Linked DNA regions of Drosophila melanogaster. Changing the gene in region 1 together with any one later gene gives a genetic interaction. Each region holds a gene or a part of one and is shown on either strand. Other genes may lie near its edges.

The links. Genes that interact genetically often act in the same process or in processes that back each other up.
Region 2: of CG10324 (region 1) and KLHL18, changing one enhances a phenotype caused by changing the other (phenotypic enhancement), as found in Drosophila melanogaster (one study listed by BioGRID).

Annotation. Positions count from the first base shown.
Region 1 is NT_033777.3:16,644,567-16,648,883, forward strand, and holds CG10324 (uncharacterized protein), read right to left. Parts: upstream 2,439-4,317; 5' UTR 2,362-2,438; coding exon 2,225-2,361; intron 2,176-2,224; coding exon 1,454-2,175; intron 1,381-1,453; coding exon 608-1,380; 3' UTR 506-607; downstream 1-505. Other genes in the region: Arl6IP1 (ADP-ribosylation factor-like 6 interacting protein 1), read left to right, coding at 1-185; CCT3 (chaperonin containing TCP1 subunit 3), read left to right, coding at 3,330-3,363, 3,422-3,483, 3,569-4,068, 4,135-4,317.
Region 2 is NT_033777.3:12,006,942-12,012,051, forward strand, and holds KLHL18 (kelch like family member 18), read right to left. Parts: upstream 3,494-5,110; 5' UTR 3,433-3,493; coding exon 3,301-3,432; exon of another isoform or gene 3,224-3,300; coding exon of another isoform or gene 3,203-3,223; coding exon 2,349-3,202; intron 2,287-2,348; coding exon 2,028-2,286; intron 1,955-2,027; coding exon 1,472-1,954; 3' UTR 1,422-1,471; exon of another isoform or gene 1,160-1,421; intron 988-1,159; 3' UTR 535-987; downstream 1-534. Other genes in the region: GCC185 (GRIP and coiled-coil domain containing 185 kDa), read left to right, coding at 3,990-4,019, 4,082-4,181, 4,242-5,110.

The sequences.
Region 1 (4,317 bases):
TGGGTCTTTTGGCTATGGCCTGGATTGGAGCCATCATTAACAATCTACTGCTTATGTACTTGGCCACCCTACTCATCCTCATGTGGCCAGGACTACAGAACAAGGACATTTTTAAGGCCATCACCCAAAGGGCCTCGAAGATTATTAACGAGAAGATCCAGTGCGGCAAAAGGAAGCTGCAGTAAAGGAAAGCAACCAGATAAACTCATCACCATTTGACCAAAAATATAAAACATGCCTAAGTCATCTACTTGCCATTATGCACACATCGCATCACTAAATCACACATTAGGCGCATTGAATTTGAAACTATAAATATCTTAAAAGATAAGAGCAGCGCATACAGAAAAAAAAAACTCGGAAAACTAGCAAATCCGTGGTTCTGGCCCCATCACATCTCCTACTATAAGTTTGTAACATGTAAGACAGAAGTATTCTCGAAACGAGGCGTACGGAGAGAGAAAAAAACGCGCAACAAAAGACAAGGCATTTTTGTGATTATTTTGTGAGTTAATTGAAATTTATGATAATCCCAAGTAAGATAAAAAAAGGAACTTAAGCGTCTAATGAACTATATTTAAATAAAGATTTCAACTAAATAGATCAATCACTGACGGTCTCTTGACCTTGATCGCGTGCGGGACCTGACATGCTTGCTCCTCTTGGTCTTCTTTTTGTGCTTGCTGTGGTGACGACGATGGTTTTCACCGAGGCTGTCATCGCTCTCTAAGCTGGAGTCGTTGTCCGCCTTTCTCGACTTGTTCTTGGACTTCTTTGAGTGTTTTCTTGACTTGTGGCTGGATGATTTCTTCTTGTGCTTCCTGCGTTCATATGCAGAGTCGGAGTCGCTCTCGGTGGACTCTCCCGTATCGTCTGCCTCGTCTGAACTACTCTTTGTTCTTCTGGTGCTTCGGGGACTTTGCGAACGCTTTTGGTCACGGTCTTCCCGCTTCGACTTAGATGGGCTTCTGCCTCTGGGACTCGGCGAACGACGACGCTCACGTTCCTCGCGTTTAGATACAGAGGAGCTACCACTCCGCACATACTTCTTTTCTCGATCCACCTCCTCTTTGTTAGATTTGGCTTCCTTGTACGATTTTCGCTCGTCTTTGTACGTCCTGCGATGTTCGTCTTTGTACGTTTTTTTGTCTTCATATTTGTAAGACCTTTTATCTTCTTCCTTGCATTTCATGCGATAGTCTTCTTTACTAGATCTCTGGTCCCCTGGCTTCGAACTCTTTTGATTTTGAGCTTCATCCCGGTCTGATCTAATTTCTTCCCTGCGGTCTCTGTCCCTTCTTCCTGACGGATTTTCCTGCTTCACAATAATCTGGCCATGCTCGTTTTCATTTTTTTTGAATTCTTCGTATTTGGCAGTGTCTGAAAGTAAATGTAAAAGAAATATAAAAATGTCACAAATATAAAGGATTTGCATTTTCCAGGCTCCACTTACTTATGCACTTGCCATACTGAGAGTACTCCTTGCGGGATACGGGCTGACAAAGGAACTCGTTGAACGCCTCTTTGGCCCCTCCAATTGCCATTTTGACAATTACTCGCCCTGCATGGTCATCAAAACCTTGGATTTGGCCATACTGATCCTTCTGCTTTCCGCCCAGAATGCGCACGTACGCCTGCTTCTTAATCTCCAGTACCTCGTTCTTCTCCGGCTGGACCAGTAGAGCTTTAGGTTTGAGCGCCTTATCTGCTCCCAGGCCCATGCCTTTGGGTCGCAGAAAGGGGGCATCATCGATGGGTCCTGAGCCCTTCTTTTTTGGCGGTGGATCAACCCAGCCCATGCCGCGCAGCATGGCTAGGCCAAATTGTTGTATCGGTATGTTGTCATAGTCATCTAGTGTTGCCTCCTTGGCACCATCGAGAGGCAGTTCGTCTGCGCTTAGGGCGGGCAGGACAAGTTTCTGGTCATCTAGGCCTTCGGCACCGTTATTTTGGATGGCAGATATCAATTCCCGAGCTGCTCTCTGTTCCAGACTCTCCGTTGGACCGCCTGCGGTGACCTCTGCTATAGACTGAGCCACTGGAGTCACCTCCTCTGGATCCGGTTCCTCCTCGCCCAGCAGAACTGCCCGCCTCCTCATCAGACTCGCCAAAGCGGACGAAGTCTTCTGCATGCCTATCATTTTGATGGTAAGAGGAGCAGCTTCCACCTTTTCGCTAAATATTACATATGAGTATAAAACTATTTCAAGATATTTTAACTTACTCGACTGGCATGATTTCGTTTCCTTCCAAGCATTTTATCAACTCCACCTTGCTTTCCTCTTTCGGCTGCTTGCTGGGCAGAATGTTTGGTTTCTTGGACAATTTACTAAAGCCAAAAGATATCTTCTTGGCCTCCATGTTGTCTAGTTAAAAAATTAATAACTATTAAAAACAAATTGAAGCCGAAATGTATCGTAAACAAACAGGCCACAGCTGACTCGCGGTTTGTTATCGATATCGATAATTTATTTAATTTATGAAACGCTTACACTACACTTTTAAAGTATTTGCAAAACTTATTTGTTTTTCCATTTATATATAAAAACTACCATGAAATCCATTTAATACGTTTTGAGCAGTTTTATTGAATACAGCACAGGATCTTCAAATATTAAAAAGTTCGACGCTGTTTATGTAACTCATCATTCCAAGTAATCACTTTTCCCCCGTTATATTCAGAATATCCTCCAACATTTTCTTTTTCGAAGGTGATACAATTTTCATAAATTATATTTTAACTTCTTTTGAGTTTAGTTGGTTAGGCTTTTTAGGCTTCAAAATTTCCACATTTTAATTATGATGTGATAGAAATATGCTATATAACATAAATTTAAAATCCATTCGTAATATAAATTAATTTCCAGTATCACTTACACCGTAGAAAATATTATTTATTGTTACAAGTTTAATGTTTTGATTTCGCTTAAACCTCAGGGTGGAAAATTTAAAACCAAGTTAGGCGCCTTCAAAAAATCGCAGTTATGACGAATGTAATTCTGTGACATCGATAACAAAAGCTGCATAGTGTAAGTATACTGTTTCTCGATATCGATTCTTAAGAGAGCTGCTGCTTCGAATTGTGGAGAATTTGAATTAAACTTATAAGCGATCGCAAAAGTCAGTTAGCAGTAAGTGAGGAAAGAAAAGAAACTAGAAGAAGGAACTGGCAGAAGTAACTAACAAGCCGGTCCGCTCAATATCCTATCGAACCTTCTCGAATAATGTGTCATCGGCGGTTCTAACCTCACTCATTCTCTTTCAAACAGCGGCAGCGCCAGCACGAGTTCAATTGTTTTCACGCAGAAATAAATTAAACAGCCAGAAAGATGTTCGGTGGACAGCAGCCAATACTCGTGTTGAGTGAGTATGAAATTTGCACGTCGTAGAGCCCAATTGCAATCGAATTACCCGCCGACAGGTCAAAACACAAAGAGAGAATCGGGCCGCAAAGTGCAGTTGGAGAACATCCAAGCCGGAAAGGTATGCGTGACTCACATGTCTGGGTCTTGGGTTTTTGTGTTCTCGCGTTTTCCGACCATCTGTTGATTAAAACGTCTTTTTCCAGGCCATCGCCGATGTGATACGCACATGTCTGGGGCCACAGGCCATGCTGAAGATGCTGATGGACCCAATGGGCGGCATCGTGATGACCAACGATGGCAACGCCATCCTGCGTGAGATCACTGTGCAGCACCCGGCGGCCAAGAGCATGATTGAAATTGCTCGCACACAAGACGAGGAGGTTGGCGATGGTACCACATCGGTCATCGTCCTGGCCGGCGAGATGCTGGCCGCCGCCGAGCCCTTCCTCCAGCAACAGATCCACCCCACTGTTATCATTCGCGCCTATCGCGAGGCCCTCGAGGACATCGTCGGCCACCTGCAGTCCCAGCTTAGCATCCAGTTGGACGTCAAGGATAAGGCCAAGATGGCCGATGTGGTCAAGGCCTGTGTGGGCACCAAGTTCATTGGCAAGTGGTCCGACCTTGCCGTCAAGATTGCCCTGGACGCAGTCGAGACAGTGACGCTAAGTGAGAACGGCCGTCTGGAGGTAGACATTAAACGGTAAGAACGAAATTTGTTATGCATATTATTTTTGAATAAATAATTTTAACTTTGTTACTTTCACAGCTATGCCAAGGTGGAGAAGATCCCGGGTGGCGCCATCGAGGAGTCGTGTGTTCTTAAGGGCGTGATGATCAACAAAGACGTGACGCATCCCAAGATGCGACGCCTCATCGAGAATCCCCGCATCGTGCTGCTTGACTGCTCGCTGGAGTACAAGAAGGGCGAGAGCCAAACCAACGTGGAGAT
Region 2 (5,110 bases), 4.6 Mb from region 1:
TAAACGAGCTCCAGTTTGGTGGTGATAAACAATTGTCCCCGGTGATGCAACAAATATTTACTCCAACCATTTGGTAAACATAATTAGCATTTAATTAAAATAAAATTGCCCATCGATAGACAAGCAATTTGTGATTTGATTATCAAAATCAAATAAGACCGCCGCCACAAAGCCTTTTCGCTTGTGCAAATAGCCGTGCCGCTGCAGAGCCACATAAATATACATGTAGCCATTGGCAATCGGGAACAGGACCGGATCGTATCCGGATCGGCGATAAGGTCCTCCATCGCTGGAACCATCTGATAACTGCGAAATATGTACGTTAAGTGTGCAATTGATTGGATTATGACCCTTTGCTGTGCGTATGGCATTTTATGGGTCAGTGATAGACGGCAAATTGATTTTGTTTTGGTTTGGTTTCGTTAGCCTCTATTTTTGGATGCGCCATTGCCACCTGTTGCTCCGAATTAGTTTTGCTGCCGCTGCACTTTGAGCAGGTGGTGCAAATCGAATTTAAAATTGCATTCCGCGCGTGGGAGGTGTACAAATATCAAGGGAAGAGATACTCCGCATGTTCAACTGAGATGCAACGAGGGAAGGTACATTTATTCGTTACAAAATAAGTAGAAAATTGTAGATAGACATTGGGACTTGGGTAATAATATTTAATCATTTTTAATTAAAACTGAAAGTATTTTAGGGACAATAAACAAGTGCACTGCCTTCCATAAAGGCCTGCTTATTGACCATCAACTTTTTGCGCTGCCCTCGCCATTTTCGCCTTTTTGTCGCTCAGATTGCTTTGTTATTTGTCAACCATTTATTATTGTTCAAATAAAACGTATCCGCCGCCCATATGGATCGTCGAAACACAATTGATTTATACGATGTGCAAAAGGTTGACAGTCGTCCCTTTACTGTAAGGAAATTACTGAACTTTAACAACCTTCTAAAACATTTCAAGATTACAAATGGCGAGGGTAATGACTGAAAATGAATACAAAGAATACGTCTTTAGATAACTTTAATGTTAAGAGTCTAGTTCAATTTAAATTAAATTAAATAAAATATGATTTAAATTGGTGTGAAATTGATTTTAGTTATACATAGGACTATTTTACCCGTCTTACAAAAATAAACCAACCATTAATAAATTTTTACATAACATGCGTTATACATGTTTTTATTTGGAGGATTAATATTGTAATGAGTATTTAAGGCTAGGCGTAGTAACTAAACAATTACATAACTGGAATGACAAAATCTATAGAGCTGTGAGTAGTATATGAACAATTTTGATAGAGCTGCAAGAGCTGAGCTGAGTTGCATACGAGGCGGCCGCACGAGGTGCCACTAAAGCTTGGTTACCCTCAACAATCATATCTAGGCTAAACTATATCGATTCAATTCACATAAATTACCTAAGACGAGTGTGGCTAGAGAAACGGGTTTGGCAGGCGAATCGAGTGGGTTACTCGATCCGTATGACCCCGGCTCCGACACCACCACTGTGTGCGCACATGGGCGGCATAAAGGTCCATTTGTCGGTCTCCGGATCGTACACCTCGACTGTAGACAAATTTGACTCGCCATCATAGCCGCCGATGGCCCACAGTTTGCCCATGTTGGCGGCCAGAGCCACCCGCGAGCGTTTGCAATTCATTGGTGTCACCAGCTTCCAGGTGTCCGTCTGAGGGTCGTAGCACTCTACGGATCGAAGGAATGAGTTGCCGCAGTAGCCGCCGCACACGTATATCTTTCCGTTCAGCGTGGCCACGCCCAGTCTACAGCGACGATTCAGCATGGGCGACATCTTAACCCAGACATCTTCGGCCTGGTCGTACCGCTCCACCGAATCGAATATGGACAACCCATCATGACCGCCAAGGGCGTAGACGTAGCCGTTCAATTGGGTAACTCCACCAGCCGAACGATATTTCATCATTTGAGCAACCTTCGGGTAGTGAAATTAAAGTTGGATCAGTTTTCTTACCCATCTGGGTTACATAGAATGTTTGTTTACTTACAGTCTTCCAAGTGTTAGACTTTGGATAGTAAACTTCAACGGTGTTGAGCGACGTGACGCCGTCGTAGCCGCCGCACACATAGATACAATCATCCAATGCGGCCACGCCCACGGCGCTGCGTTTGCAGAGCATGGCACAGCCCTGGGACCACTTGTTTTTGCGCGGGTCGTAGACCTCAACGGTGGACAGACGTTCGGTGCCATTGAATCCACCAAAGGCGTACAGCTTGCCATTCAGAACGGCCACACCCACGCGAGATCTGTCGAAAAATTGGCAATTAGTATGGGATAGAATAGAAATAAATGCTCCTCGCACACTCACCTCATCATGGACATTTGTTCGCCCATTTTCCATTTTTTGGTGAGCGGATCGTAAATCTCGACCGTGCTCACAGATTCCCCAGTGCTGGCCAGTCCTCCCACGGCGTATATTTGTCCGGTAAAGAACTCACCGGATCTCTGGCGCGTGCGAAAGCTCTGCAGCAGACCCCTGCGCTCGGGCATGAGGTGAAAGTCCTTGGCCTCGTCTAGGAGATCACGGCATTGGTGCGAGGATCGAATGAGTTCCTCGCGGGCCACACGGTCCGCCAGGAACTGAGGCGAGAGCAATGGCAAACGCACTGCAGCCAGGACCTGAGGAAAGAGCTCAGAGCGCTTGTCTTCTGCGTACTTGACCCACTTCATGCAGGCCTCGAAGATGACCTCCTCGGTGCGTACGTTGAGTTCGTCCCGGCGCATCAGCTCCAGCAATTGTTCGCAGTCCAGGGCGAGAAACTCCTCCGACTGCGAGACTTTGGCAAAGTTTTGATCAATATACTTGTCGGCAGCGTCGATTAGCTGCCGGCAGATCATGGAGTCGGCGAAGGTGCGGATTCCCAGGACATTGTGCGGATGAAAGCGGGAGATCAGGAAACTGGCACAGGCATCCCGCACGTTGGACAATTGCAGGAAGCTGGCGCCCACCATCAGGTTCTGCACATTCTGGTTGTCGATGCGCACTTGGCCGCTGTAAACATAGTTGATCAGACTCTCCAGGGCACTTGGCTCTATGGCGCTCTCCTTCATGGTGATCTCCTTGATCCGACTCTCTGCCATGTTGTTGGTGAACATCGCATAGAAATACGGGATGGTGGCCGCCAGCACAACGCGGTGCGCTGAGAAGGTCTGATCTTCAACCTGCAATAATTGGGATGGCATTTTATATTTAGACGCTAGATAATGAACGTATCTCTGAGCTGCGGGTGATTGAATGCCCCAGTCTGCACGCAAACAACCTTTAGGGTGACATCGCACAGCTTGCCCATCCTGCGGATTTCCTTGAACAGGGGGAAACTCTCGCCGAATAGCTTATCATGCTTGTAAACAAAGTATTGATCCTCCACTTGGCTATTATCACTCAAATCCATCACTTTAACGGATCAAGAAAATGATAAACAGTAGAGATGCCAAATGTTGCTTGTACTGCAGAGCTAGTGGTGGTCAGTGGTGAGCGGTCACATTAATCGATAGTTGAGGTTCCTTCGATAGTTGAACAACACCAATAGTAGTGAAACAAATTTATTGAATCATATTGTTTAATTTTAAAGGTAACGTTCTTGGACCAAAATGTAATTTCATAATACTTATTAAAAAGTTGAGCCCTTTTTATGCAACAGTGATAATTAAATCCTTAAAAAGCACATATTTTTAAGACAATATTATTCTTTCATTTAATTTTAATTAGTAATTTTTCCGTTTTTGCGTCACCTTCTTAAAAAAAGACGCTCATCACTAATTGGGCGGTGATGACAGCCCTATCAGCTGTTAGTGTGGCTGGAGTGTTTTCTTCGCTCGGATTGATTAAGGGTCCAAAAACATTTTCGAGTAATCTGGGTCGCTTGCTAATTGGAAAACCACTGATCTGAGTTAAGACATAAATGTTTGGACCGCTATTAAATGCAAGGATACGAAAATAGCAAGTAACATGGAAGCCGCATCACCGAGGGAAACCCAGGTGAGTAAAAAGGTGTCGCTAGAATTGATGATGACGTCTCATCTTGTTATTTGCATTTGCAGAAGAACCCGAATCCGATCGAGGCGCTGAGCAAAGATGAAATCATCAGCAAATACAAAGGCCTGCTCAACATCGCTAAAAAGGCGAAACAGGCAAAAGATGGTAAGTTTGATGGAGAGTTTCAGGGAATCTTCCAGAATAATGCAAGCCACTCTCTTTCAGAACTCACCGAGGAAAATCACCGACTCAAGGATGCCCTTAAACGGGCGGCGGAGAAGCAGAGCAGCCTGCCAGCCATGCAGGAAATGGTCCAGGACTTCACCGATAAGAACCTCATCCTCACCGAGGAAGTGAATAATCTGAAACGAAAGACCAAAGAGGATGCCGATCGACTGACGCAATTCGAGATCGAGAACGAGAGCCTAAAGCGCCAACTTGGGCGACTGAGTGATGAAAACGATGCCCTCCTTGCCAATGTGGATCGCATGGAAAAGGCTATGCAACAGGTCAATGCTCTGGGTAACGAGCAGCGCAAGAATCTGGAACTTTTGGAAGTGGACATTGCCAAAATTAAGGAAGCGGAGGCGGAAAACGCTAGTCTTCGCCAGCAAGTCGCCACGATGGAAGAAGAGTCGAGTGTGCTGCAGCAAAAGTACCAAAACATCAAGGAACTTAACTCTGAGCAACGCAAGAAGTTTAATTCTCTAAAGGACCGCTTCATTGATGTACACCGCAAGTTGAAGAACCTCAAGGAGTGCAAGTGCGTGCTGCTGGAAACGCAGCACGAGTACGCCGCATCCGTTTCCAAATGGCAGGTGGAGATTATCAAAGCTTCGCAACTGTTGTGCGCAAAGATGGCATCCCTGCAGGCCGAGAATGAAAAACTGAAGCTGAACAATGGAAAGTCAGACAATAATCCTCAAACAATTGACACTGGAATTGACCGCAAGCGCTTGCTGCAAAGAGTTCAGGAAATGGATCGGCTAGCCAAAATAGTGAAGCAGAAGCAAAAGAACCAAAGGAGCAATTTGAATGTGGAGTACCTACTTAAGAAGATAACCGCTCTCGAAGAGCTTGCAGTCATTATAAAG